Drosophila melanogaster: one gene and its partners. The protein of the gene in region 2 interacts with the protein of the main gene of each other region in a pairwise test. Each region holds a gene or a part of one and is shown on either strand. Other genes may lie near its edges.

The links.
Region 1: the proteins of lwr (region 2) and p53 interact in a two-hybrid assay, tested with the Drosophila melanogaster proteins (4 studies listed by BioGRID).
Region 3: the proteins of lwr (region 2) and Hsp27 interact in a two-hybrid assay, tested with the Drosophila melanogaster proteins (one study listed by BioGRID).
Region 4: the proteins of lwr (region 2) and Su(var)2-10 interact in a two-hybrid assay, tested with the Drosophila melanogaster proteins (2 studies listed by BioGRID).

The regions. Positions count from the first base shown.
Region 1 is NT_033777.3:23,048,205-23,057,033, forward strand, and holds p53 (p53), read right to left. Parts: upstream 5,879-8,829; 5' UTR 5,805-5,878; coding exon 5,761-5,804; exon of another isoform or gene 5,702-5,760; coding exon 5,378-5,701; exon of another isoform or gene 5,191-5,377; coding exon of another isoform or gene 5,153-5,190; exon of another isoform or gene 4,996-5,152; coding exon 4,915-4,995; exon of another isoform or gene 4,845-4,914; coding exon 4,808-4,844; exon of another isoform or gene 4,745-4,807; coding exon 4,718-4,744; exon of another isoform or gene 4,712-4,717; intron 4,700-4,711; coding exon of another isoform or gene 3,485-4,699; intron 3,027-3,484; exon of another isoform or gene 3,016-3,026; coding exon of another isoform or gene 2,986-3,015; intron 2,921-2,985; coding exon 2,611-2,920; intron 2,547-2,610; coding exon 2,300-2,546; intron 2,238-2,299; coding exon 1,843-2,237; intron 1,784-1,842; coding exon 1,761-1,783; 3' UTR 1,453-1,760; downstream 1-1,452. Other genes in the region: Gr94a (gustatory receptor 94a), read left to right, coding at 3,485-4,699; Ctns (cystinosin), read right to left, coding at 6,319-6,424, 6,525-6,627, 6,684-6,972, 7,159-7,519, 7,585-7,767, 7,838-7,934, 7,995-8,049.
Region 2 is NT_033779.5:538,196-544,417, forward strand, and holds lwr (lesswright), read right to left. Parts: upstream 4,386-6,222; 5' UTR 4,235-4,385; intron 4,185-4,234; exon of another isoform or gene 4,156-4,184; 5' UTR 4,053-4,155; coding exon 3,573-4,052; 3' UTR 3,514-3,572; exon of another isoform or gene 3,042-3,513; intron 2,974-3,041; 3' UTR 2,404-2,973; downstream 1-2,403. Other genes in the region: ush (u-shaped), read left to right, coding at 1-1,054, 1,115-1,257, 1,323-1,761; Spp (signal peptide peptidase), read right to left, coding at 5,046-5,154, 5,221-6,071, 6,138-6,222.
Region 3 is NT_037436.4:9,381,049-9,386,958, reverse strand, and holds Hsp27 (heat shock protein 27), read right to left. Parts: upstream 2,897-5,910; 5' UTR 2,774-2,896; coding exon 2,132-2,773; 3' UTR 1,265-2,131; downstream 1-1,264. Other genes in the region: Hsp23 (heat shock protein 23), read right to left, coding at 4,401-4,961.
Region 4 is NT_033778.4:9,114,411-9,123,219, reverse strand, and holds Su(var)2-10 (suppressor of variegation 2-10), read right to left. Parts: upstream 7,099-8,809; 5' UTR 6,898-7,098; coding exon 6,769-6,897; intron 6,603-6,768; exon of another isoform or gene 6,064-6,602; coding exon of another isoform or gene 6,043-6,063; coding exon 5,368-6,042; intron 5,304-5,367; coding exon 5,063-5,303; intron 5,006-5,062; coding exon 4,771-5,005; intron 4,715-4,770; coding exon 4,548-4,714; intron 4,482-4,547; coding exon 4,393-4,481; intron 4,333-4,392; coding exon of another isoform or gene 4,321-4,332; coding exon 4,173-4,320; coding exon of another isoform or gene 4,147-4,172; exon of another isoform or gene 3,468-4,146; coding exon of another isoform or gene 3,389-3,467; exon of another isoform or gene 3,310-3,388; coding exon of another isoform or gene 3,267-3,309; exon of another isoform or gene 3,115-3,266; intron 2,921-3,114; coding exon 2,682-2,920; 3' UTR 2,443-2,681; coding exon of another isoform or gene 2,414-2,442; 3' UTR 2,404-2,413; downstream 1-2,403. Other genes in the region: GstE13 (glutathione S transferase E13), read right to left, coding at 62-598, 653-701, 772-866; Phax (phosphorylated adaptor for RNA export), read right to left, coding at 7,287-7,501, 7,560-7,836, 7,890-7,981, 8,037-8,769.

The DNA of each region.
Region 1 (8,829 bases), on a different chromosome or scaffold from region 2:
CGACTGCGAATGCCAAACTACGTGTACAAGCTTTCGACTCTATAGCAGTATTTCCCCCCATTGAGTGAAGATCGCCAGCCGCTCGACGCTATCTGGTTTTCGTATCTACGAGCTGCAGATTTGAGTGGGCAGCGGTAGCACCTTTGAGTGGAAGCGCCGAGTCGCGAGTGAAGCTACTGCGTTTCACCTGACGTCTTAGCCCGGCTTTCTGTGGTTGTTTCCTTTTTTTGTTGTTTTTTATGTGTTTGGGCCATATTGTTTTCCCCACGCGCACAGTGGGAACTGCGGATGAAGATCGTAGCCGATAAGAGCCCAGCCGTGTTTGCTTTCCCTTTATCTGGTCCGTAAAGATGGGGTATCTGCCAGTTTAAAATGATAAACAACTGCTTGAATATAGTATGAGTCTTAATATCTTCCCGAAATAATTATGTAAATTATGAGTCACTGCCTCCCAGTGTGCGCCACTTTCGAATTGTCAACCTTTTGGCACCCGCCAATCAAAGAAACGTATTTAATTGGGCTTCTAAGGCGATTGCATCGCTTGGGAAAAGTGCACTGAAAAAAATATATACTGAAGTATATACAGCTGTGCTTATTCTGAGAAGTGGGTGATATTTAATTTTAGTGGATTTTATTTTTACAACTTTTGTTATCAGAATGACTTGTTTGGAAACCTCGAATAAATAATTAAACAAATTATGATACATTTATATTTGTTCTTTGTGCTTTAAGTATTACAGATATGTTTGCGTACTTTATTATTCTGTTACACAAAGCCGCATGTATGTTCCCAGTGCAGAAAGGTCTCTCGAACTCAACTCGTATCCAAAACCACTTTTCTGTGCGCTCGTCCAACGAGAATTGAGTGAGTTGCTCCGCTGGGTTTTGAGCACTTTGAACGACCCATTTTCGTGGTGCCAAACTGGTAGTGGAAGTGGCAGCCGGTCGAAGAAGGACAGGCCCCAAATGGAAGTGAGTGCATCCGCTTTGGCTGAATTTTTGGACACAGAGGCTATCATTCCGTTACGATTAGGGCGCACTTAATGCCCCTGCCCTAGGTCAATGAACAGCGATCGGTGGGCTAGAGTAAACATTTAGCTGCCGCATGTGGCAAAAGCTAAAGTCGCCTGCAGCTGCAGCGGCACAGTGTCAACATCTGGTGTTTGTTGCACTTTTTTGCATCCTCGCACATGTGCAACGCTGGCGCAACGCATGCGCCCTGCTTGAGGTTGTTTTTTTTTTTTTGAAAGCATAGAACTAAAACCAAAGACGTGCAGATACGGGTATAAATAAAGTATGTAAATGCGACGCAGCAATTTTGACATATTAGCAGCTAGCTAGCTGAGTTGCATCCTGAGTGCATTGACCGCACACAAGCCACACATGTCACATAGCATGTGCTCCACGGTGGGGGTACAGTAGGCTCTGGGCATTGGCGTACACCACGAGGATATGTTTGCAAAATATGACAACTCTTTAATAAATTCACTTTTGGCTTTTTTGTACAGAGTATGTTTGTTGTGGTAGACAAAAGTTACGTAGTCACATAGAACTGCAGTTAACAACAGTATACTATCAAAAATATAAAAATGTTTTCTTTTCGGCCATCGAACATGCCAAAAGGGGAATATCACCGTTAAACGCCTTACGAACAAGGACTAATACAAACTTAAGATACTAATAGCTATGTAGTATACCCCACAGATGCAACACATTTCAAAGGTATCTGATACCTGGGAGATTGTCGACCAGATCAGAAGTCATGGCAGCTCGTAGGCACGTTCTGAAAGGAAAGTTCGGTAAGTAAAGCTTAATCTCTTTGTCCTCCGATTCACTGCTTACTCTTAAGGCTCAGCAATTTGTTGGCATGGCGACGTAGATTCTCTTGGTTGGGATTGCGCAGGACTTCAGCCGCCGCCTCCTTAATCATGCCCTCGATGCTCTGCAGCAGCCATTCCTTATTGGGGCACGTAATAGCCAGACGGTAATCGCCATCCGGTGTCCGCGACACGTTCCACTCTGCGGCGGAGTCGTCGCAGTCTCGGCTATCATTGCTCTCCGTGTCCTCCGTCTTTATAGCAATGCACCGACGCACCTTGGACGGCTCATCTTCTTCGGCGGCTTCCGGCACGGACTTGCGCTTCTTGCTATTGAGCTGGCGTTCGTCTTGGATGCGATCCCGCTTGGGGCACGTACATATTTTAACATGTATAACATGCTGTCCCACGATATCGCCGCTGCAAGAAAGAAAACACGTTAAGCTTTGTTCTAGCCATCTAGAGTTTTGCTGTCACCTTACCATGCTTTCTCCAGGCAGAAGACTAAGGAAGTTTCTTTTCGCCCGATACACGAGTTTTGGCAGACGAACTTGAAGGCCAGGGTCTGGCGCGTGAGCCCACTGCGGGTTACAGACCGGCTCATGTTCAGGGGGACTACAACGGAAAAACGCTCGGAAATTCCCTTGCCCTGAGCATTTCCACAATATACACTGTTGGGATTCTCGCTGCGCAGCAAGCTCTCGCGCATTTTTGCGTTATTGGCCGTCACTAAAGGTTTGTACAAATGATAGTTAAATAATCCTGTTCGATCTGTATTGTTATCTTCACTTACAAGGCTCAACGCTAAGGTGATTTTGACAGCGGACCACGGGAGCACTCACATCATTGGAGAAGCAAAGGAACACACGCAAATTAAGTGGTTGGATGGGCATTTTAGACTTGAACTGAACGTCCACGTTGAAGGCCTTGTTCATCCGGATGTAGAGCTTGTTCAGCGGAATCGAGTACATCCAAAGAGACTTGGGCGGCTCATCCAGAACCATGCTGAAGCAATAACCACCGATGTTGTGATTCTCTAGCTTGGGCAGCGTGTTCGCCTGGATCTGAATGTCCTGCAGCATCATTTCGCGCAGCACGGATTGCTGTAAGCAAAAACAAGATATTATTTGAATGTCAACTTAACTCGCAATCATATAAGGGTTCACACTTTGCGCTCATAGAGCTGATAGAGCTTCATGTTCCAGCTTGCTCGAGTTACAAATGGACTGGCGATTTGTTTTGTATTCTATTCTATTTTTCACAAGTGCTTGAAATTCTCGCTAAACGATGACGACGGGAAGGAGTGCACCGTGCTAATCGGCTAGATAAGAGTGTTTTGTTCTGTCCTCCAACTGAAAGTGAACTTCGAAGCGACTTTGACGTCATGTCGCTCTTATGAAATTGCAGGCAGCGGCTGAGTCACGCAAGGAATGCCGCTTCCCTCACGCTTCTTATGCTCTTTTGTTTGTGGCTAGTAGTAGCACAACGCATGCTCAGTTGGTTTCTGGACGGCCGGTGAAATACATGCGTTTCGCGATGTGTCCCGATAGTGTCCGGCTACTTGACAGGTCCTCTAGATGGCATCAGTTGGGTAGTTGGAAAACAATTAAGCAGATATTAATGCTGTGGAAAGTGCGCTCACAGTTTGTATTAATTGTTCGAGAGAAATGGACTTCACCAGCGACTACGCGCATCGGCGTATGGTGAAATTTCTGACGATCATACTGATAGGCTTTATGACCGTCTTCGGACTCCTGGCCAATCGATATCGGGCGGGCCGTCGTGAAAGATTCCGCTTCTCAAAGGCAAATCTGGCCTTTGCTTCGCTGTGGGCAATTGCATTCAGCTTGGTTTACGGGCGGCAAATCTACAAGGAGTACCAGGAGGGTCAGATCAACCTGAAGGACGCCACCACTCTGTACAGCTATATGAACATTACGGTGGCTGTTATTAACTATGTGTCGCAAATGATAATCAGTGACCATGTGGCCAAGGTGTTGAGCAAAGTGCCCTTCTTTGATACCCTAAAAGAATTCCGTCTGGACAGCAGGTCGCTGTACATATCCATCGTTTTGGCTCTGGTCAAGACCGTGGCTTTTCCTCTAACAATTGAAGTGGCTTTCATACTGCAACAGAGGCGGCAGCATCCCGAGATGAGCTTGATCTGGACCTTGTACCGGCTGTTTCCCTTAATTATTTCGAATTTTCTCAATAACTGCTACTTTGGCGCAATGGTGGTGGTGAAGGAGATTCTGTACGCTCTGAACAGACGGCTGGAAGCGCAGCTGCAGGAGGTGAATCTGCTGCAGAGGAAGGACCAGCTAAAGTTGTACACTAAATACTACCGCATGCAGCGATTTTGCGCCTTGGCGGATGAACTCGACCAGCTGGCGTATCGCTATAGGTTGATATATGTGCATTCGGGAAAGTATCTGACCCCAATGTCCTTGTCCATGATTCTGTCGCTCATATGCCACCTGCTCGGAATAACGGTGGGTTTCTACAGTCTGTACTATGCCATAGCGGACACCTTAATCATGGGCAAGCCGTACGATGGTCTTGGATCGCTGATCAATCTGGTTTTCCTCTCCATCTCGCTGGCGGAGATCACATTGCTCACGCATTTGTGCAACCACCTATTGGTGGCCACCCGAAGATCGGCAGTCATTCTCCAGGAGATGAATCTCCAGCATGCGGACAGCCGCTACCGTCAGGCAGTCCACGGCTTTACTCTGCTGGTCACGGTGACCAAGTACCAAATTAAACCCTTGGGCTTGTACGAGCTGGACATGCGACTGATCAGCAATGTCTTCTCGGCGGTGGCCAGCTTCCTGCTGATCCTCGTGCAGGCCGATCTGTCCCAGCGCTTCAAGATGCAATAGCTAATCGATGTTACCCACCTGGCTGAACTGCATCAGATTCCCGGACTGCGGGGAATAATATTAAATAGTTAGTAAGCTATAGCTTTGCACATTAAAAGCACAACTCACGTTTAATCCCTGCAAGAAGGCCATGGGTTCCGTGGTCCTGGAATAATAAAAACAATAATAGTTAGCAACCAGGCAAACCACATGTGACCACGTGACCAGGTACTCACAATTCCGATCCCGATACCTCCACCGTTTTCGGAATATCCTCCTTGATATCGACCTCCGTGGAGTCATCCTCGGAATCAGTGCTAAAGTGTAAAAGGGAAATAAAAACTTAGTGGCAAACTGCGCCTTGGCTGGATAAACAAACACAAACAAGTTGGCCGCGCGAATGATGCAAGTACAAGCGTGTTGCTACATGCAAGGTTTCTACTGTTCGATCATCAATTTGTTGCCGCACTGTACCTTTCTTTGTGCCACGACATTGGCTGTGATATATACATCTTAGTCGGCTATATCTGATCAAGCGATCTTGTTGGGGAAGGAGGCTAAATATTAAAAATTCGCTAACAAAAAACTACAGAATCGTAGTGGCCACCGACTATTTGGATTTTGCCATTCGCCACGCAGCGCGAACAATCGCCGTAGCCAATGTTTATCGATTGGAGCGCGTGTTTTGAATTTGCTCACCCCTTGTGGCAGACGAATTTGTTGCATGCATTAATTTTGTTATTGCCATCGGAATTATTGTTGGCCAAAATTTCCAGATTGTTCGTGAACTGCATCATGTTGTTCGTGTTGTTGCCTCCGTAGGCTGGATCCACAGGCGTAGCCAGGTGGGCATATTCGTTGGATTCGTTGCCAAAACTCTGCGGCAAGTTGAAAGCTCCGTTGCTGGAGACCCGAACTGCTGACTCTGCAGAAACTTCGTTGCCGATATCCCAAAAATCCAGGAACTCCTTGAAAGCTTCAAAAATTGTGCGACTATTGCTACGCGAAACAATCGAAGTGTTTCTGCAAAAAGGCGCAACATTATTTTGTTGGGTAAGACCGAATAAAATATCTCCGCTCACTGGTTAAAAGTCAAGCTAAACGACGCGGACTTGTGAAGACTCATGGCTGTGCACTCAAATAAATAAATTTTATTTAGCAGTTGCGATTTGTGTCCGCAAGAATCTTCCGTGCTCCAGGGATGTCAACTAACCGGAAATTGGCTAACTTAATGTCATATATCCATGGCTATCGATAAGCTATCGATAAGGATTTGGCCGAGTGCGAACAGTGCTGCCCATTGTGCGGCAAGTTAGAATTTCTGTTTTGAAATTTTTTCAATACTTCAATCTATTTATTAGTTTGCAAATAACGCGCCGTATGCAGCAAATTGGTTTCACTGCACAGCCCTTTGAATGGTCGAGCAATGTACCGTATGATTTCTGGCTCCTACAAAAAATTAAGTTTTATTTAATGGTGAAATTCCAAATTTTAGTCAAACTAAATTTCAATTAAAACGCACGAATTATACAAAGCTTAGGCAGCTACGGCATACGGATATATTTACAATTCTAAAAATGTACATAAAGCGCTACTGGCACAAAAGTCTTTCTCTACAGCAGACATATGATAATGCAGCTCTAATATTTCTCAGTCGTCACTTCGCTCGGCGGCGGCGACTCATTTGTTCGATTTTGAACATCGGTCACGGTGGTGAGGTCAGAGCTCGAGGATTCCCTCGAATGCCTGGGGAGAAATGGAAAACAGCACAGCAATAATGATAAGTGTACAGTGGAGATGACATAATCGTAGATTAAGTATCATATTCACACAATGTTTCAATCACCTGTAAAACACATAGTGCTGCAGCATGAAGAACACATCGAAGAGCACGGAAAACAGACCCAGTCCGAATTTGGTGGGATCACCGAAAATCGACACCCAATCATCTGGAAACCAGACACGATTTCATTCGAAAATCACAAATTGATAGACTATATCCTACCGTAATTATGAGCATTCAGAATCATTTGCAGCATGCTCAGCGTTCCTCCCGTGAAATCCAGCAGAATGTTGCCGATGCTCCAGCCGGAGGTGCTCTTCCGGCGATAGTTCATCAGAGCTTGCGGCACGTACTTGATGATGGTAATGGTTAGCTTGACGTAACTGCAGTAGTACAGAAAGTCCAGCCAATGGATGACGGATCCTCCGGCCAAACCGGCAGACACGACGACCACCACGGCGAAGATGGCCAATATTCCGTAGGCAATGAACGACACCCTTTGCTGTGCTCTCTGGACAAATTTAACAAAGTATGGATGTTTTACAAGTCAAAACCTTATCTACTCTTCATATCGTAACTATCCGCTGTGATTCAAATGATTTGGCATTTTGATTGATGGCAATTAGTGTTCAATGCGACAACTGTTGCCACTTCGGCGATAAGGCTATTGAATGGTATTTGCTATATATATTATTACCTGATAGAAAAAGCACTGAAGGATCGTAATGCAGGTGGCGAACATGGCATGCAGTGAGAAGACCACGTCGTTGAGCATCACAGGATTCACTCCCAGCGGATATCGCACCTCGTACTCGTTCTGCAGATCCTCGATGAAATAGAGGCCGCAGTTGAACATGCTGTACAGGGTGAAGCCCACGATATTGAGGGCCAGGAAATCAAAGTTCAGTCCCTCGACGGACTTGCGGCGATAGTTGCTCCAGATCTGCGGATAGAAGGACACCGACCAGGCCACAAAGTAAACCCAGCCAAAGATGATGGAGGTGTAGATCAAAGCTCTCGATTTGGCCACAGTCACGCGTACGAACACATCCTTCACACTGGAAAATAAGTGAATTTTCCAATTAGGTACGGGAACAGTTGGGATTCCCGTGAAGTTACTCACATCTCTTTGTTCGCATCATCGCTATCTGCGACCACTTTGACGTTGCCGGCTTTGAGGCCAGTTATCACCACCGACTGATTTCGAGTACTGCCCGCTGGATACACAAACGTTGCGGGATCGAGGAGCAAATGATCCTCCGAATCTGTTCCCAGCGCAACTTCCACGTCGCTGTCTAGCAATCCGCTGTAATGGGCACAATAGATTTACGATGCCATATGTTTTGGATTTGGATTTCCCGGCAATGGCAACTCACTTGGCGAACACCAGAAAAGTCTCGTTGCTGTTCAGCAGAACGGTGATGTCATGGGAATCGACGGTGAGCTGACTGCTTTGGGCATTTCCCAGGGCAACTGTGGGCAGGAGAAATTCCCTCATTATTAGATCGCAATATCTGGATTGCGATATCTCACCTGTGGCCAGGAGGAGGAGCAGCAAAGTGGTCAGGCGGTGTGTGCTGAAATCCATTCTGCTTGCGTTCAACGTTCAACTTATTCATGCATGAGCATCCAGTCCTGCTGGCATCTTCTTCAATGAAGCCCTATATGGTATTGTATTGATTCAATTGTGAATTACTTCAATTGACCAATTGACCACGATCGGGTGAAATTGATATCTACTCGTAGGAGTATGGAATGCAATTCCTGACACCTTTTTTTTTTTTGCTTCTTAATTTAATGACCCGTGCAGACACTCAATCAATAAGGAATATAATATGATATAAAATGATATAAACATAAAACTATTTGTTCCAAAAAAAAAACTTGCAGTGCAAACTACGCACGCTCGCTTCATCTGGAATTCGTGTGTGTTTTTGTCGAGATAAAAGTCGGTAACCTTCATCAAATGTCGCTCAATGTTACAACTTTGCAATTGGAGCACACTTTCCCACGGCAAGCGTTGGAGCACCCATTTTATGTGCCTATATGGCCCAAATGGACGTAACAGGAAATACATGGGCTTTGTCGGTCGATCGTAAAACCAAAAGATTCCCGATTGTTCATACTATATTTTTTATATGGCGAGGGCCGTGACTTGGCGATTGCCAAGAAGTGTAAAACACCGCGTGAGAACGGGCTTATCTCAATCAATGGAGCTAGCTGATAGTGTCCGTCGAATTATTGCGGCAGTCTGCCACAAGTTGCAGATAATCAATAGATTGGGCAATGCACTGCGATTGCAATACTAATCGCAAGTCACGATCCAAATTTTGGTTCTACATAAATCAAAACTAATGAGAGTGGTAAA
Region 2 (6,222 bases):
GCGCTCCATGCTACCTGCGGACTTTGGACTCTCCGAGTCGCTGTTGGCCAAAACCAACCCGGAACTGGCTCTGAAACTGGCGGCGGCAGCGGCCGCAGCTGCTGTGGCGGGCAGTAGTGGAGCAGCAGCCTTCCCGCCCGCTTCTCTTCCTGCCCAAACTAGTAGTGGGAATCCGGGTAGTGGAGGATCGGCAGGTGGCGCCCAGCAGCCTCAGATCTATGTGAAAAAGGGCGTGTCCAAGTGCATGGAGTGCAATATTGTGTTTTGCAAGTATGAGAACTACTTGGCACACAAACAGCATTATTGCTCGGCAAGAAGCCAAGAAGGTGCGAGTGAAGTGGATGTCAAGTCGGCCGTTTCACCATCCATCGCTGGAGCAGGAGGACTGGGAGCCGGAGCTGCAGAGGCTGCTTCGTCGGTGGAAACCACACCGGTGGCATATCAACAGTTGATCTGCGCCGCCTGCGGAATTAAGTACACTTCCCTGGACAACCTGCGAGCCCATCAGAACTACTATTGCCCCAAGGGAGGAGCAGTTGCTGCCCCTGCCGCGACGCCCACGGATCCTGGCCAACTGGGCATGCCAAAGGAGAAGTGCGGAAAGTGCAAGACATTGCATGAAATTGGTCTGCCTTGTCCACCACCCGTTGCGAATCCTCTCGCAGCGCCGACAGTCAATCCGCAACCCGCCACCAATAGTCTGAACAAGTGTCCTGTTTGCGGGGTAGTGAGTCCCACAGCAGCACTGGCCAAGAAACACATGGAGATGCACGGAACAGTAAAGGCATACCGCTGCAGCATCTGCCAGTACAAGGGGAACACTCTTCGCGGCATGCGCACCCACATTCGAACCCATTTCGACAAGAAGACTAGCGACGTAAACGAGGAGCTATACATGACCTGCATCTTTGAAGAGGATGCTAGCGCGCTGAGTCAGGAACTGGTTACTCCAACAGGGGCATCTACCACAACTGGACACGATTCCATGGATCATCCCTCGCAGATGTTCAACTGTGATTACTGCAACTATGTCTCCACCTACAAGGGCAATGTGGTGCGTACTCCTTTTTATTGCTGCCAGACCAAAGAACTCACTATAGCTTTTTCCTTACAGCTGCGCCACATGAAGCTGATGCATCCCCATGTGGCCATCAACTCTCCCTCCATTTCCCCCGACACCAGAGATCAAGATGTGACTTCCAACCCCACTACCAACCAACACTCGAATTCCGATGTATCCAACGGTGAAGCACCCAGGTAAGGATGACAGGAAATTATCTACATTCTTATTACTATATCTTCTCTAACTTCCTCGTCCACAGTTTCCACATTAAATCGGAGCCTCTGGATCCACCACCGACTGTGAATCTGGTGCACGAGAACAACAACTCCCCGATCGCCACGCCACATATTAAGGCTGAGCCAATCGAAGTCGGAGCGGATGCTGCGCCCGGCGGGCTGGTTCCGCCGATGACTTCTCCGCTGGGAAACAGCAGCAGCGTGGCTGCCGCAGCAGCTGCCGCCGCCGAGGTGATGAAGAAGTACTGCTCAACCTGTGACATATCCTTCAATTACGTGAAGACCTACCTGGCTCACAAGCAGTTCTACTGCAAAAACAAGCCCATTCGCCCCGAGGCCAGCGACAGCCCCAGTCCGAATCACCTGGGCGGAGGCGTTGCCGTGGGCCTGGGCATTGGCGGCCTGGTCGGCGGACACGGCCAGCAGAAGAACAAGGAAAACCTGCAGGAGGCGGCCATTTGAGAAAGCCAGCTGCGGTGGGAGGCGCAGCGCAAGCAGCTTGAGTGGTATTACACGTGCTTCTAAGCAGCAGCCCAACCCAATCGAAACTAATCGAATCCTAGCCTCCTTTAAAAATGTACACTATCCAAACCGCAACCAACCATCGACGACAGTATTCCCGGAAAATCTCCCGTCGCTGCCCTCCACTTCCAACTCCATTTGGGGACTGACTCCTTCGACTTACCGATCGATAGAAGTAGATATATACATCGTACTCCCGTACATATACAGTACACCTAAAGGAATAACACATAGATACTTAGGTACATTAATTTAGGCGCATACCCATTAAGTGGGAACCATGACATATAATGCATGCCAAAGCTTACCACTTAGACAGAAATTAAATTGAGGGCGAGAAACTACAAGTTTGCAATGGTCTGCGGAGTAGAAGGAGGCGAAGTATTCCAATGTAGATCCAATACTATAATGTAAATTACTCGCTGTTCCCCATAAAGCGAGCAATTCTAACTGTGTAATTTAAATGAGTACATTATTTATTAAGTGTGTGCGACAATAAAAGTAATTAATTTATTCAATATAAAATATAGTGAAATTAGTAACTAAACGACATTTTACATTTTTGAATTCAACGAACGATTTGAGTGCTGCCAGATTAGCGAAAAATGTTATGACGACATAGTTGCCAGATTGATTAAAATATTGTCAAACATCGGACATATTACCGGATCAATAGAAAAATATTGTGGCATCCCTAATAAAAGAACCGTTAGATTAGACCAGGCATCAGATAGATCAGCTGATCGTTGGTAGCCTACTAGAAGTTCTGTTCGCCTGGTACTCAGAATAGAGCATGCCCACCAAAACCAAGACTTTGGGAATCCTGGCGGTTGTTTTAAAAACACCTTTCCACGCTTATGCTTCCCTGGTAATTCAGTTCGAAATATATGAGCATCCTCGGGAAAAATAATAAATTCAGCTGTCAGTATGCCGGATTCCCCAGACTGAAGTACCAGGCGAACACAAATCTCAGTAGGTGTTTTAACTGGGCATTTTTCAATATGGCGGCCTCGTTGGAAATGAACCGTTAGCTGGAAGCATTGCTATATCAGCAGCGAATGCTACCAGATCAGCCAAAAATTATGCATAGTAATGTTGGCGGACTTGCCAGATCAGCTGAAATAGTTGGGAAATGTGACCAGCTTCAAATGCCTAAAAATCAAATAAAATATAAAGGTAAAAATGGACTGAACAAGTTTTTAAATAAAATGCTTAAATTTAAAAATAGTCATGTTACTTAAATAATAAGCAAAAGGAAGAACTTTATATGGAATAATTCAAGCACTAAATCCAGCTGTACGGCTACTGACGACCAACAAGTGCTCGACTGCACATTTGCTGGGAAATCCTTTCCGCTTTAAAATGCATAAGCTTTTACAACTAATAAATTTTTATTGAAATTACATAGGTTTGTACGTAGTACTCGCGATACAAAATAGCCCGTAGAATAATCGGCACCTGCACCCAGAATGGAAGCTGAAAAGAGCGTCGAATTCTGGGTGCCACGTGGCCACTTTGGGCCTCATCGAAAAATTACAGGACTTATTTGTATTTATTCAGATGGTACATGCTGGTAATTAAGCAAGTGCAGAACATTAAAAAATTAGATGCTTCGGGCCGCGGGGGCTATCCAAAATTAGTCGATTCTTTAAAAGTAAGTAGACGTGGAGAGCATTCCAAACAAACGCTTACCGGCTAGATGTGTGTATTTGTTAATGTCTATGTGGTAAAGGTGGTTGGCAGGAGCCCGACTACTCAGTGGCCGCCATGGCGCGGGCCTGGGCACGCACGCGCTTCTCGTACTCCAGTCGGTTCTGGCAGTAGATGGTGTAGGCCTCCGCCTGGGCTGGGTCCTTGATGTTCGGCTCGTTGAGCAGGTCCTGGATGCCCAGCAGGATTTGCTTGATGGTGATGGCGGGGCGCCAGTCCTTCTCCTCGTCCAGCAGCGACAGGCAAACAGTGCCCGAGGGATAGACGTTCGGGTGGAACAGCGGCGGTTCGAACTTGCACTTGGGCGGCGAGGTGGGGTAGTCGTCCTTGAAGATCATGCGCAGCTTGTAGAGCCCGCCCTCCCAGGGGGTGGACTTCTTGCCGGGAATGGCGCACTCCCAGATCATCAGGTTGAGGGTGCCGTCAGGGTTCTTGGCGGGTCGTGCGACGAACCCGAATGGGTGATCCTTGCGCCAGGCCTTGCGCTCCTCCCCCAATCGTGTAATAGCAATGCCGGACATGGTCGTCGCTGCTTGCTCGCTTCTCTACTGCCGCCCGAACGTGTCCTCGAGTCCTGGATTTCCGCTAGCAGTCCCACTTGGCCTTTTTTGCACGCGCGTCTGTCTGCGAATGTGTGTGTGTGGGTAAGTGGCCTACGAGGGGCTTTGTCGCCTTTTGGCGCGCTAAGTGCAAGAGCACCTACCTCTCTGTTCGTCCTTGCGTCTCCAGTGGTTCCAAGCAAATTAATTATTTGCAATCGCGGGGGGAACTCGCGCTTTTCGCAATTTTTACCGCAATTTTTCAGGAATGAACGCTTGTGCTCGCTAAAGGTATAAGTTTTTCTACACAAAGGGTCTCACTATGCGGTTATCGATATTTAGTGTGGCCGTGGATAAACAGTGGTATTAAAATACTGACTTTTTCAAAGCACTTTTGTATTATGTTTTAAATTTAAAAATTCTTTGGATTTTGGTAAGCTCAACTTAAAATGTATTAGGTTTTTCTCTTAAGCCGTTACATTCCTAAAAACCCTCTACTCAATACAAAACTAGTTTAATTAAACGTTAGAATTAAAATTTATTCGCATTACTGTTTACACAAATTACTGCATTAGTTTTAAGAAATGCAATGTAGAATTCGTAGTCAAAATTGCACTGTTTACAAAAATTGGAATATATTTGTATCTAAACTGTTCTTAAACATATAAGCCTCCTGTGCGGAGCCACAGAAATATTTGAAATACATATTTAAATTGATTGCGGTAAAAAAGTCGAGGGAACATTTTCTACAATTGTAACCTAACCGAACTAAATAAGATTGTTGTGCCTGGCCAAGGAACGTACATAACTAACTCAGTAAGTGAATCGTCTTTTGTAGCGGTGTTAGTCCATATGAGCTATGGACTGCGGTAGATGGAGAAGCCATATCGAAACGAAAGGGAGCTTGGCTAGCTGCAGAAGACATTTACGATGGAACGAGTGGGGATGTTGTTCGGATGTTGCGTCCTCCCGGCTCTACTTGCCCTTTTTCGACTCCTTCTTTTTGCTGCCGGACGAGCTGACGCCCTCGTCCTTCTCCTTCTTCTCCTTCTTTTCGGGCTTCTCCTCGGGATGATCTTCATAGCTGCAGTGGGGGCGAGAATGAGTTAGTTTAGTTTCAAGTCGAGCGCCCAGCGCAGTCCACACTTACGCAAAGAGCACCTTCAGCTCGCCGCGGATGAGGGCCACCAGGAGGGGCGTGCCCATGCAGGCTGGCACCAGGTAGAGCAGAGCCGGCTGCGCATGCTTGAACACATGCATCACGAAGATGGTGGCCAGCAGGCCAAGGAAGTAGGCAATCAGCGTGGAGTAGAAGTAGATGCGCGTCTTGCGCTTCTTGCTGTCGTCGAAGCGCAGCAGCAGAGCGATGAAGATGCCCGGAATAACGATGTCGCCTAGTCCCAGCATTGCGAAGTTCGAGGCGTTCAGGCCGTTCTCGATCAGGTCCTGGGGGAACACTAGCTTGATGGGCGCCTCGAAGCTCTTGGCCACGGTGACCATCACGTTGGTGCCGAATACCCAGAAGATGTCGTAGAAGAACAGGCCGCTCAGCAAGATGACGCCCGTGACGAAGTTGTTCAGGTGCAGCATCTCCACGCCGTTGATGGCGAAGGCCAGACCGAACAGATTGTTGGCGATCCAGTGCTTCTTGAGCAGGTACCACACTCCGATCGCCGAGGAGATCACCAGGCAGACAATGTCGTGCGTGGAGAACTTGTAGTTAACGATGTCTTCCTTGTGCTTGCCCTCCCCCTTAGTGAACAGGATGTGGAAGGGCACCTTCGGCACGGCGGCGGGCATCAGCGAGTTGATCACCGGACTGAGCAGGTGCGCCAGAGCAATAACTCCCAGCACGAAGAAGTAGCCGGTGAGCAGGTAGTTGATGTGCACCTTCTGGAAGATCTTGAAGAACAGGTACAGCCCGAAGAGGGCTGCCGACGCGATCAGCGGGAAGTACATGGCGTCTTTCTTGGTCATCGTGTCCGCCTTCTCGCCCGTTGACTGCAGGGAGTGGGAATTACGGGAAACATGTTAATGCAGCTTCCGGGCTGAGTCTGCTTCACATACCTTCTTCAGCTTGTGCAGCTTCACGGAGCGGATGGAGCCGAAGATGATGGGCAGCATGGCCATCACCACCAGGCTGCTGTAGGCC
Region 3 (5,910 bases), on a different chromosome or scaffold from region 2:
ATTAACAGTAAATACTTATGATCGCTACAAGTTACGAGCATAAAACAACCAATATGAAATCAGAACGGGCAACTAAATTTTTTATTATGTATTAAATATTTAAATAAATATGTGCAAACAATTGATTAAATTATTTAAATGTCGTTCTTATCTTGGATTTTCTTTCAGTGTGCGCGGAACTGGAAATATTTGCATGACGTTTGTCAAAATGTAATTGAAAAACAAAAATCATTTCCCATTTTTTTTTATATCGATTTCTGAATTGTGCAAAATCATTACAAATCATCATAACAATCGTCGACAAAGGTTAAGCAATTGGCTGACCATTTAATTTTCCACAAGTCCAATTCAAGGACAAGGAAAACAGAATATGTACATAAGACCCCTTGAAAGTTAACGACACCCAACAAAAGCCGGTTTACCCTAAATGCAAATACATTTGCAGATTCGAAGCTAAAAAGGAAAAAAAACCAACAAAAACTCGACAGCTGACTTCTTTTCGTGTATTTGTATTTATTGTATTCGTTTATTCACAAATGAAATGCAAAATTCTCCCGAGTGTTGCGCCTGTTCTTGTTACAAAAAGTATAAACTCAAAGGGAGCAATGAATCCTCCAGTTGTTTAGCCTAATAATACACACTAAAATTTTGTTTTTTTTATGCATTATGATAAATGGAGTTTAAAATCACTTAGTCTAGGATGTTATGATGATGATGTAATGATGTGATGTGTGTGAATGTAATACATTGGGTGTGTTGTGGTGTGTCCTTTTTAGTCTTGCTCTCTCCGAGCAGCGCGGCAACACTCCCGTTTCTTCTTTTAAATTCTTCTTTCTCTCGTGCTTCGGATGTGTTTTGTTTCTTAACTTCTAAGTCAAATGAAATTTTAAAAAATTGATCTGTGATTAAGCGTCATTGAATATACATACATAACGTGCATAAATGCAAGCAAAAACATATTGACAGCAGCCGCAGCCGTAGAAAATGCAGAAAAATACATAAAATACATTTTTACTTAACATCAACTAAGATAAAACCAACAACAGCAACATGACAACCACTAAAAGCTTTTTCGCGGTTAACAGCGAAAGCTCCACGGAGCCGAGAAAACTGAGATATATCCGTATCTCAACACCCAGCTGAGAAATATGAATGAAAGCCGTTTTAGATATAGATATAGAATTAACAGTAAATACTTATGATCGCTACAAGTTACGAGCATAAAACAACCAATATGAAATCAGAACGGGCAACTAAATTTTTTATTATGTATTAAATATTTAAATAAATATGTGCAAACAATTGATTAAATTATTTAAATGTCGTTCTTATCTTGGATTTTCTTTCAGTGTGCGCGGAACTGGAAATATTTGCATGACGTTTGTCAAAATGTAATTGAAAAACAAAAATCATTTCCCATTTTTTTTTATATCGATTTCTGAATTGTGCAAAATCATTACAAATCATCATAACAATCGTCGACAAAGGTTAAGCAATTGGCTGACCATTTAATTTTCCACAAGTCCAATTCAAGGACAAGGAAAACAGAATATGTACATAAGACCCCTTGAAAGTTAACGACACCCAACAAAAGCCGGTTTACCCTAAATGCAAATACATTTGCAGATTCGAAGCTAAAAAGGAAAAAAAACCAACAAAAACTCGACAGCTGACTTCTTTTCGTGTATTTGTATTTATTGTATTCGTTTATTCACAAATGAAATGCAAAATTCTCCCGAGTGTTGCGCCTGTTCTTGTTACAAAAAGTATAAACTCAAAGGGAGCAATGAATCCTCCAGTTGTTTAGCCTAATAATACACACTAAAATTTTGTTTTTTTTATGCATTATGATAAATGGAGTTTAAAATCACTTAGTCTAGGATGTTATGATGATGATGTAATGATGTGATGTGTGTGAATGTAATACATTGGGTGTGTTGTGGTGTGTCCTTTTTAGTCTTGCTCTCTCCGAGCAGCGCGGCAACACTCCCGTTTCTTCTTTTAAATTCTTCTTTCTCTCGTGCTTCGCCAGCGAATCTCGTCGTCTTCTTCCTCCTTCACGACTTCTTCCTCTTCTAGTCTTCTTCCTCTTCTCGTCTTCTTCATCTCCTAGTCTTCCTCTTTTCGTCTTTTACTTGCTAGTCTCCATTTTCTCGCCGCTGCCATTTTCGGCTTTTCCATCGCCAGCCTCGGGTGCCGGTGCCTTGACGCTCAAATGGGCAGGCCCCGTTTGCTGGATCTGGACAATGCGCTCCGACTTGGCCTGTTCCTTGCTGGGCGGCGGCGGGGCCTTGAGGGTCAGCACACCGTCGGATGAGACAGTGGACACTACCTCGTTGGGGTCAAAGCCCTTGGGCAGGGTATACTTGCGCACAAAGTGACGCTGGATCATTCCATGGCCGTCCTCGCGCTCCTCGTGCTTCCCCTCTACCACCACGGTGTTGTCCACCACCTTGACGGTCAGCTCGTTGGGCTTGAACTGCGACACATCCATGCACACCTGGAAGCCATCTTTGCCCACGGCGGGCAGCAGAGCGTTTGGACCCCCCGACGCGCGACGTGACATTTGATTGTGGTGGCCATGGCTCCTCTCGTACGGCGAATAACGACGACGACCCAGTCCCAGGGTGTTGGGCAGTAGCAGGCGACGCGGATGGAACAGATCGTGGGCATGGACGCCAAAACCGAAGTCATCCTCCAGCAAATGCCCCCAGTCGGTGCGGTAGTCATGATCCAACTCCCGGGCCAAGTGCAGCAGTGGTATAATTGACATTTTTGATTTTTTTTCTCTTTATTCACAACCCTGTCTAGACAAAGGAATTTTTTTTGCTTTTTCGAATTTTTTTAGCGAAGTTTGCTTCAACGTTTGCCTTCAATTTTTCAGTTTAGACTGTGCTCGGGCGACGTTGACGCCGGCTTTTATACTGACGCTGGGCTCACACACACTAGTGCATGGCAACCAGGGACGGAACTTTAATAAAATGATGGGGGGTTGCCATCTTCGTTAGATTTTGCCTGCAGAGAAGGTTTTCCCTATGATCCCCTAATGCAAATATAATAATATTTAGATATAGGCAAGCAATTATTAGCCTGTCAAACTTAAAATTTAAGCGACATTTAAAAGCCCCTTTGAATACGCCCCGTAATTCAACAAACAGTTTTCTCTCGCATCTTCTGGCTCTTTCTAGCACAGCCGGCTTTTCATAGAGAGAGGGAGAAAGAACCAGAAACTTCTTGACATTTCTTTTCTGGGGAGTTTCTCTTTGCGAATAAAAAGCAAAACGAACAGTTAAAATGCAGTACATACATATGTATGTACATGTACGTATATATGCAGATATATGTATTTATTTAAAGCATTTTCTTCTCTTATCGCTCTTTTAAAAGCTGTCTTTTCAGAGTGCAACAGAGCTTGTATTTTCATTGGACAAGTGCATTGAACCCTTGTCTCGCTTCGTTCTGCTCCTCATGTTTGCCGTTCTTTTGTTTGTTGCAAACATTTTTGCAGTTGCTTTCGCCACTGCTTCGCGAAGTGGGAAACGGGGCAATTGAAAATTTTGCAAATCATTGCCAGTCTGTTGCAAGTGTTTCGATTATTATATGTACATATGCATACATTTCTATATATATGTATATGTGTATATAGAATCTTTTTATTCTTGGTTCACCAGTTAACCAAAATACATAATTATTTTCAAAACTACATGCATACATACATATGTATGTGTATGTGTGCATGCACGTAATTATTTGCGGTAACATACAAAAATGAAGTTCAATTTATACATGTACATAGGTACGTGCTATAAGGACGTACATAACGTACATCTCTTGTAGAGATGACAGAAATTCATTAAAAAGAAGAGAGTGAAAAGGGATGTATATTCTTATGTACGTATGTATGTACATGATGTACTTATGCATGCTTTACATAAGGATTTAACCTTGACTGAAGTTCCTTACATTCATAGCTTCAAGTCTCTTTACCGAAGTAATGTAAAAAGTCAGTTATGTACACAAACAACAATTAAATAAAAATGCCATTTTACGTGACACAACAATGCAATATACAATGCAGAAAGTAAATTCTAGAAACCGGGATCACAGGAAAAAGGGCCAAGCTAGCCAAACAATTCCCAAAGTAATAGTAATAGTAACCCATAACCAACCAGAAAAACAGACCAAACACAATTATAAGTAAGTGTACTTGTTATTTATTTTTATGGGTAATATTAATTTCGCCAATTTAGTAATACATATTCCAAACTAAGATTAAAGCAGGACACCCTTAATGGCTATTGTGTATGAGTGAAGTGTCCTTGGATAACTACAGCTTATAAAACAGATGTATGACTTTGATAATGGTTAAATAATGCAGGGCATCTCTCGGAACGAGTCCTCTACTTATCGTTGCCATTGTCCTGCTCCACCGCCTCCTTGGGATTCTCCTTCACATTGAGATGGGCGGGTCCCACCTGCTGGATCTGAACGATGCGCTCGTTGCCCTTATCCTCGATTGCCGGTGGCTTGGGCACCTTGATGGTCAGGACACCATCGGAGGACAAGGTGGAGGCCACCTTATCAGCCTCATAACCGGGTGGCAGAGCATAGCGGCGGACAAAGTGACGAGTGATGAAGCCATGGTCATCTTCGCGCTCCTCATGGTTGCCCTCCACCAGGACGGAGTTGTCCTGCACTTTGACCACCAGTTCGCTGGGCTTGAAGTGCGACACATCCATGCAGACCTGGAAGCCATCCTTTCCGATTTTCGACACGGCTCCCGACGATCCCGACGAGGCGCCCACCTGTTTCTCCAGCTGGCGCAGCTGCTGCTCCATCGGTCCAACCAGGGCCAAGTAGGGATTCCTCTGGCGCTGGCAGTAGTAGGGCTCATAGAAGGGCACCATCGACATTCGGCCCAAATCGTCGGCAAGGCTCAACAACAATGGAATATTTGCCATTTTTGTTTTTTAATTGCTTCAAGATGATTCTCCTTCAAAGAATAAACTTCTTTTGTTGATAGGTTACTTTCGCTTTAGCTGTTATCGCTTTGGCTTTTTGAATTCAACTGACGCCGGTTGCACGAAAGTGCCGGTTATTTATACAACCGCTCGCTATCGTAGTGTGCGTGCGCCCGTCGGCGCTGTGTGTGTGCGCGTCGTGTCTGTGTGCTAGGGGGCACAAACATCGACATCGAGAAGGGACACGAAACTTCTCGGGCTGAAAATATCGCAGAGTTCTCGAATTTGCCGCAATTACGCATTATCTGCCATTGAAAGTGAGAGTATCGCTATGGAAAATGAGCAATCTCCTAGGGGAGTGGGAATGAAAAGGCCTGGTGGAGTGATAAGTCGCATCAGCACCGGCAAATATTATGTGTATGTATAGATGTACGTATGTAAGCACGTATGTATGTACATACATAGCAGATAGGAAGGTTGGAGTATATTCCACGAAGGATGGAGTAAATTCGCGAAACTTCGAGACTGCAGAACAGTTCTTCTTTTTATGGCCTGGCATTTAAGCTATTAACTTTAATTAATATCCAAGAATGGGGCTCTGTAGTGGGGAAATCTAATTAAAATACATAAGTGGTTAATGCCGGGTAGGTAATAACCCATGGGATGTAAGCGTATTATTACTCCAATCAGTAAGAAAATGTAAAAATGATACGATTTGGAACATATGTACATTCATACAATAAAGGATTCGAAGGATGTAAAAATTATTTGAATAAAATGTAATGCAACTATTTTGAATTTCAAAGGTCGATAGATGAAAACATAAACCAAAAAACATTAAAAACATTTAATAAATTCTAATAGTCAATATTTGGTTTATTGAAAACGAGGCTGTAACCTTTTATTATATTTGACCAATTTCTTAAGACAAATACATATGTATGTATGT
Region 4 (8,809 bases), on a different chromosome or scaffold from region 2:
CATGGGGAACACAAAACGTTGGCTGTGAATGTGTAACATGAGAGCCTCATTAAGAAGGAATCTACTGGCTCTTCGCTTTGTTCTCGGCCATGCAGCTCAGGATGCGGGTCTGCAGAGCCCGTGCACCCTTGAGGTTGATCTCCTCGTTGTCGGGCAACAACTTATCCATGCGTTCCATCCATTGCTTAGTCTGCGGGTACTTTTCCCGTTCCACTGGTATGAGCAGATCCAAGGTCACCAGAGTGGTGTGGATGGACACGTCGGCAACGCTCAGTTCGTTGCCCACCACGAAACTTCCTTGCTGCAGAAAGTGTTCCAAGTCGGAGTACGCATTGTGGCAGAGGGTCAGCGATCGGGGGTTGTATTCTCCCTCGCCACCGTAAATGTTCCGAGCCACAATGTCCTTTACCACCTGAAATAGCACTCCGTTCTCGTAGTGCATGCGATGGTCGATGTGGGCTCTCCTTTTCAAATCCCGCGGATAGAGTTGGTCATTCCCGGCGTACTTGGCTACCAGGAAGCACACGATGGCGTGACTGTCCACGTAGACCTCGCCATCGCTGTCCACAAACACCGGGATCTGGTGCTGGGGGTTTAGCTGTAGGAAGCCAGCGTTACATAACGAAATCAACGGTTTTCAAATCCAACGAACCTTGACAAATTCCTCGCTCAGGTGTTCCTTCTTGGCGAAGTCAACGGGTCTAAGGATTCGAAAAGATCTTGCATTAGCAATCTGCATTTAAAAGTGCACCATTCTTTTGGTTCTTTTACTTGAGCTCCAGGTCCAGTCCAATAAGTTTGGCCACCAGGATGCATGCCCTGGCAGGAGGACTAAAAAGGGCGTAGTACAGCGTTGGCTTCGACATTCTCCCGAAGAATTCACACACCAAATGGCGATCAAGGTGAACAAGAAGCCAGCGGCATGGGCGCAGATTAACAGGGAACAGACCTAATGCATTTTGCAATTCCAACTTCTCATTTCAAAGATTTTTTAATTGTTCCATTGTATTACTATTTCATTAAGTACTGCTTAAAAAAAAAAACCTTTTTCCTAAATAAAAGAAACTGTATTAGAAACCCCCCTGAAAATATGGCAACTACGCGCGTGAACAAAAGTAAAAGTTGTACTGGGACTGCCAACCTGTTCAAAAAGTGAAAAACAGCTGATTGGCGCGAAATTTAAAATGCAGCTATAAAATAATCCCAACTAATTCGTGTTGTCTTAAGCCATTTATTCTCATTTAAGTCAATCATTAGCTAATATTTGTATACAAACTACTGAAAAATATAACATACTTAGAATGCTACAATACACTTGTGGCGCATTAAGTTAACTTAACAGGCCAAGTCTAATTCTTTGGGTCGCCTAATGATATTGTAGGACCTTACTTGTAAGATCTTTGCGGCGGCGATTTATGGCGAATCTAGAAGATCAATTACGGAATCCTCTTTGGCCTTAGCCATACAGTTTTCGTCATTATCCTCTGCAAGTAAAGAAAAGGTTTCAGGTGGGCTCAATTAGAAACGGGATGCTGAATGAAAAATTGAAAAATCAGTTTAATCTTAAAACAGAGCTTGACCCCCGTTGGTAAATAAAACGACAGGTCTTGGTTGAAAATTGTTTAATCGTATAGTTAAAGTACACATCTCCTTGTACATTGATTTCATATTTGTTCGTTCAGATATTTAGGGGGTTTGCATCATGTCATAGTCAAAGCATTGTTCAATTTTAAATCTTAACATATAAATCCGTGGTGGTACGGTTTGAGCTTAAATACGCCAACAAAGGCCAGGGAGGTCATATAAACTGAGCGTCTAGCTGGACGACATACATAACATACATAATCCGTCGTTTCCAATCGATTTGCATTGATAAAAACGGCTTCGATTGCTTTCAATACTATGGACCTTTAATGCCATATGCCATTCCGCCCTGTCTTGCAACGTAACTTAAATGCGAGGACTGCAACACCCTCCAACTGCACACAGCACCGCCTCCAATCCGTACAGAATCCGTAGTTTAACTAAAATAACTTAACTACTTTAAATTTTGGTGCCGCGACTGGCCGCCGCCTGGCATGCATCCTTTCATTTCGCTTTCCTCATAGTGTTCATTGCGCTGACCGCTTCAATGGAAAATAAATTAATTGCGTTTCCTATAGTAATTGCTAATTAATGCTGGTGCTAGTTTGTGTATTTGCAATATCTAGGAATATTTCAGTTGCTGTGTGGTGTGGCGTGTGTTGCTGAGAGCGCTGGCAAAGCGTAACACAACTAACTACTCGAGACGACACGAATAAAAGACACGGGACGTAAGCAAAGTGTTTTGGTGTGAGCCAACTGAAAAAAGGGGCAGCAACAATCTGGCCGATGGGGGAGCACATGGATTCATTCGGGAACAGGGGACCCTCTCCTACAAAACCTGTCTGTTATGCCTGCGTCCTGCAACACAAGAATTACAAGCATCAGTTGGTGGCTCGCGATTGATAGAGTATGAATAATGAGGTGATGCAAGGCGGCGAATCGAACGCCGAAGAATAGCCTCTAAGGTAATATGTGGCCGTGCGCCACCGGAAGTGAAACCGAAAACAGAAACTGGACGGGCCAATATAGGGACCATAACAGTAAGAGACCGCGAGCCGCGAGATGTGCGATTAATGTGTGTGGGATGTGGGTCCTGCCTACGGGCCGGCATTCTGGCTCTGGCCGGAGGACGCCGTGGCAGCTGCAGCAGCCGCAACCGCAGCCAGATCCAACAGTTGGAAGTGCTTTTGATCCGCGACCGCAGCAGCCAGGGATTCCAGGAGGGAGGCATGGACGGCTGCCGTCGCTGGCTGCTCGTGCTGTTGCTGCTGCAGTTGCTGCTCTGAGACTGTCTGCTTCTCTGGCGATTGGCGGCTGGCCTGCTGTTCTGGGGATTCTACGAGTTGCATCGGCGGCAGCATGGACGGGTCACACAAAAAGATCAGGGGAAGAAGAGAAAGAGAGAGAGAGAAAGAAAAAAGACAAAGAAATGCACAAGTTACTTGAATTAGTTTAGTTATTATCATCATATAACCTTGGGTTTAGGTTAACACAACAACAATCGGAAAAGAGGCTCTCAACAAAAACCTTCACTAACAAACTGGCATGATTTATTAAAATTATCACTTAAAATAAGAGTACATATCGTGAAATAATTTAGATTCGGTGACAACAGAAAATACATTGAAAATGAATTAGGACAAATGGTGGTATAAAACCGAAAAATACTCTATTAACTTTGCTTAGCCGACGTTTGGGCGCCTTGAGCTCTCTGGCTTGGGTTTTCTGTAAGAATGTTCTGATTAAGTATGGGATTCTTGTTCCAAACCCGAACCATTTCACAATCGATCGACGGAAAACATACCGTGGGCGCAGCCAAACTCCTAAATGAACACGCTTGTAAAGCTCCTCCGCTTTCTGAGGTTTTTTAAAAACATTACCACCTACAATACAAGCAACGAAAGCGGATAGAGTCAATTTATAGCCTACTTAGTCTATACAAGTTTTGGCTAGGGGATTTTACGAAATCTACGGAAACCTTTTCGATGCTGGACTCCGTAGATCTAACACAAAATTATCATGATAAATAGCCCTTCTGGTCACTTTTTTGAAACATAAACATATGTTTGTACATACTACACGTAAAATTGGGTTAATTTTAACTGGGTGTACTCATACTAAAATCAAATGATGCACTAAAGTCATAAGCGGAATCGGGGACCTAATTATATTTGAATAACAATAAGTGATGATGAAGTCAGAATCATATGTAACATATATGTAATTTTCATTTTGGACAATGTGAATACTCTTTCGAACTTTTGCAGTTAAAATTTTCTAATATTATTTAAGACAATTGATGCACCAAAAAAATACTTTTACGTTAAATGATGTCCTAGAGGTGTGCCGTAAAAGGTGAACCGAAACCTAAATGCTTGATCTTGTTAGGATTTCATTCCTTTGTCTAAATTATTGGTGCCGAAGCGTGGTTGAGTCAGTGTGGATGTATGTAAATGGGATGTGTATGGATTCTTATAACTACTTTACCCTAGGGTCTACAATTAGCAATTTGTAAACATAAAGATTTCTTGGCTATACAGAGATATAATTCTCGTTACTGGCTTATTGCAAAAAGGGATCCAACGTACCGGATTGCTGGGGCTGCTGTGCCGGGGTATAGGCACGTTGGCCGCCACCGCTGCCGTTCGACGTGGAACTGGCGACGGCTTGCTTGGCGGGCGGACGACGCTTAGCCAGCGGCATGTCGTCGTCTGAATCGCTTAACGTTAGGTCAACCTGTTGCGCAGACAGAATACAGTCATATGATAAGACAGTTTGGTAGGTTGTAGATTGGTGCTCTCTACTTACAGTTTCACTGTTTGACGTTGATGTGGGCTGTTCGTCCTGTGCTGGGGACAAATCCCTCTTTACTGGCTTGGCGTCATCCGAGATAAGTTCTGGTAATGTCCGAAAAACTTGATTAATGTCAAAACAATTTAAAAGGTTGCGTGTTAGGCGATTACCTATGTCATCCGATATAACCTCAACCTTTTGGGCGGGCTTTGAAGGCGTATCAAGGATCTGCGTCTCGCTCCGTAGTCCTGGTGTGCTCCAAGATCCATCCTGATGAAGTTGAATCTCAGTATCATCACTCTTTAGAAGCGACGAGCCCAACACCTCCTGGAAGTAGCTGGAAAACAGAGTTTAATCAGTTACAAATATGCTAAATGAAATGACATTTCTTACCCATCTATGACCAGGTTGTCATAAATGGCCGGCTTGTCGCATACAGGGCAGTTCCACGTGGGCTTACGCTCATTCATTTGCAGGTAGAGACTGGCATCGAAGCATTGCAGATGCGAGCAGGTTGATGCTCGACAAGGCAGCAACATTTTCATCTTGCCCAACGGGCAGTTAAGGGAAACCTTCAGCATAGTGGTGGCTATTTCGCAGTCAGCATCCTCAGTCAGCTTCTCTTTGACTTTAAAAAAATGGTATTTATTATTAAGTTTGCATCATTGGAGCACAGAAAACTCACTTAAGCCTCGCGTGTAGTCCGCTGGTTTTACGCCCTTCGTCTTCATTCGCTGCAAAAGCTGTGTTGAGGTGAGCTTCTTTACCAGGTATACGGCCAGACAGTAGCTACGAGTGTAGTCCGGACACCACTGAACCGTTATGGTGTTGGTGACGGTAGGCGACAGCTTTACATTGGACGTGACATTAACGGGTCGCGGCGGACGCTTGGGCTCCACATTTGGTCGGTTTGTAGGAATGACATTCTGCATTGGAATAAAGAGCAGGATATTATACCAGGTCCTGATTGGATAATCGGATAATACTTACAGGCAGCTGACAGAGTTTGTTGTTCACTTTGACGTTTACGTTCGGCGGGAAGCAGTCCTCCTGGTCGCACGAAGTCTCCACCAGGCAAAAGCGCAGTTGAACCTGAATGGCGTGCTCCACCTTGGAGCTGTTGCGAATGTCGCGATTAGAGGCAATCTCGGTGGCCTGCTGCGGCGTGAGCGTGAAGTAGAAAGGCACCTCTTGGACGCGCTGAGTGTTGCGTGGCACCAGAGTTGAAGGCTTAATTAGCGTTCCGAGTACATCGTAGAAGGCTAGCTTTTTCAGCCGCACATCGGGGTGAATAGGCAGCTGGCTGTTGATGCTGTGTGTGTGGAGGAAGGGTGCGCCGCCGACCACATTCATCTGGCCGCCGGGCACTTGCACACCTTGGCCGCTGCCCACGAGGCCCACGGGATTGGGCTGCACGGTGGGCGGCAGCTGGATGTGCGAGTACATCCTGGTTGGGTCGATGTACTGCAGCGTGGCGTTTTGTTCCTGCACGGACTGGGCGTAGACTTCCTGGACCTTCGGGGCAAGCAGTTCCAAGTTGGTGCGCAAGAACGAGAGGATGCGGCTCTGCAGGTCAGTTTTTCGTCCAGCGAATGAGATGTTCAGAAACGACAGGATTTTTTGCAGCTCGACCACTCGAAGCATCTGCACCATTTGCTCACATTCCTGAAGAGACGGAAATGGCATGGCGAACAATGAAAATTTTGTATTTCGGAAAATTGGGAAGGTGTCTATGTCCAAATAGCGGGACTTAGCACCAAGCGTCCACACGAACACACACACAAGCGCGCTCTATATGCAAATATCGCGTTTTCGCACATATGTACACATGCGTATGCCTTGTGCGGCTTTATGCAGAAAAAATCATAAATTCGCTCTACATTATATGCCAAGTGATTGCTTGACAGTCGGACAAAAGCCTGGCTTCCACATTTTTCCCATCTGTGGATAATTTACTGGTCCGAAACTGCCGCATGCCACCAAATCATTACCTAGATGCTCAAACATGGCGTTCTCGCAAAAAGTTTCTTTTCGTGGAACCGATCGGGTTTCAGTGGCTTTTAACGTTGGTATATGCAGAAAATTTGGTAAGGCTTGTGTTCGCCACTGGCAGCCTTCCTTCTTTCGCAAATTGCACTTAAACAAACTACCGCAAAAATGCCCCCTTTTTTGTCACACGAATTTTGTTTTGTCCGCACGGTCTGAAGAAATATGGCGGATGATAGTGTTGTTAAGCGCCGGCGGATTTGGCTGGCAAATCACTCTGTTCGTGGGTGGGGAAGGGTACAGACACCATTTTTTTCTGCGGTCACACTGCTTATCAATAACCATGGCCCCCATATTTATGAAAAATTCTTTGGACTGAATAAACTGAGACTGGCGGAAACATACCTTGTACTTGGTGGAATCAAAGGGATTAACTGCTATTGGCGCTGACGAAGTCGACTGGTGCCCGGGGCTCGAAGATGTTGCGGCATTTTCCGCCTGCGTGCGAGCCGTCTGAGAGCGGGTCTTTCGCATCACTATTATTTTCTATTCACGGTGGCGTTAGGCGTTCGGCAATTGAAGTCGCGGACTCGTTTGCATTTGCCTGGGACGCGCACCACACATAAAAACAAGCAATTGCCGCTGTTTTTCAACGAATGCGGAGAAACAAAAATATTTTACGCGGCGTCGTCGCTGTGGGCCGACTAGAGTTGACACTATCGATCGACACTGCGGAAATCTCTACCGCCTGGCCGAGTCTTGTCTCACGCAGCCCGAAAATGCCCTAACGCGTGCGTTTGTTTACTTTGTTAGCAACCGTTACTTTCGTAGATTCCTAATTCGCTAGGCATTTATTTAATTGTACAAATATGGGTCTATCTATGCAAGAATAGTATAAAAGGGGCCCGCCGCTTGGCGTGGGCCTAGAAAAAGTCCATGTCCCCGCAATTGACGTCCAGAAAGTCGTGGTCGTAGCTGATTAAATCCTTCAGCGGCGCTCCCTGAGCCGCCGCCGCTGCTTTGGATGTGGAGGGAAGTTCCGCATTGTCCACAAGATTTATATTGATCTCGTGGGTCCTGTACTCAGGGCTGTCGTGCTCCTGCTCAGCGCCAACAGGGGAGGGTGGCGGGTTGGACACTGAAATAGTCAAAATAGTCACATAGGAGATTTAACAATAATAATGGGATCTTCTTACAGCTGCCCGGTTGCTTATCTTCACTTTGCTCGTCGCCCTGCATGTAGTACTCTTTGCGCTGATTTAACGTCGGCAGTTCCGTAACCTGCTTGCTGAGGCACTTCTTCAACTCTTCCACCTTACGGTCCCGCATCAACGTTTCGATCTGCTTTCGAGACTTGCTCAGACTCTGGCGATCCTCACTAAAAATGCGCTTCTGCTGCTCCTGAGTGATGTTATCGTGGTGCTTTATTAGGAACAGGAATACCCCGCCTGGTGTACGTCTCCGTATGCCGTTCTGTTTCGAGGTATCGTGTTAGTATATTCGGGGGAACATCCTTTACTACTTACTTTGATCATCATGCCGCCATCGGCTTCAATGCGCTGAGTTTCCTTGTATAGCTCTAGGCACACATCTATGCCAAGAACCTCCACGACTCGAACTGGTAAAACTGGCATTATTTACTAAGTAGGGCATTATTTATTTCACATACTCACCAAGTAATTCGTCCTTTTCCTCGTACAGTTTGCTGGCCATTTCGGTAGCCACATCCGAAGGATCTCTCTCACCCACTTCGTTTAAGTCCAGAATGTGTCTGGGCTCGCAGAAATCGGAAGATCCGCTGGCCGAAGATGTCCCACGACGTGACCGGTGACCCGTTCTACTCTTGACCAAACCGCGCTGTTGATTCCCGGTGATGGGCCGACTAGAAGGTCTTCCCCTCTTGTGAGCTGGATGGGAGCATTCGCCGCCGTCCTCCGAAGAGTTTGAGAGTCGTCGCTTTAGAGTGTTCTCGCCGTTCAGCCGGTATCGCAATGAGAAGTCGTAGTTTTCAACATTTCGATCCCGACCGCTTCGGGTAACGTCGCAGCCACGCATATTCTCGCTGAGCGCATCCTCTTGCAGGGCAGAAGCCCACACGTTGTACTTCTTGAAACGGGCTCGATTCGGTTGCATTTCAGCATCCGTGGGCGGAACGCGCCGCATTACCGTGCGCCGAATGCGCTTTTTCCGCTTCTTGTGGCCGTCGGGTCCGGTGGATTCCGTACGAAGCTTCTTGATGCACCCGTCCTCGGAGGATTCGGCAGTCGAGGAGTCGCTGTTGCTTTGTGACTCGTCCTCTAACGCAGTCTGGATCTGATGGCAGGTGGTAAGGGGACTGGCCACCTTCTCCGCACCGTCAGGTCGCTGCAACGGCGTGTAAACGCCATCATCGTCGCTCTCCGATAGCTGAAAGGCCGGCAGATATGGTCATTAGATGCTCGGTAGT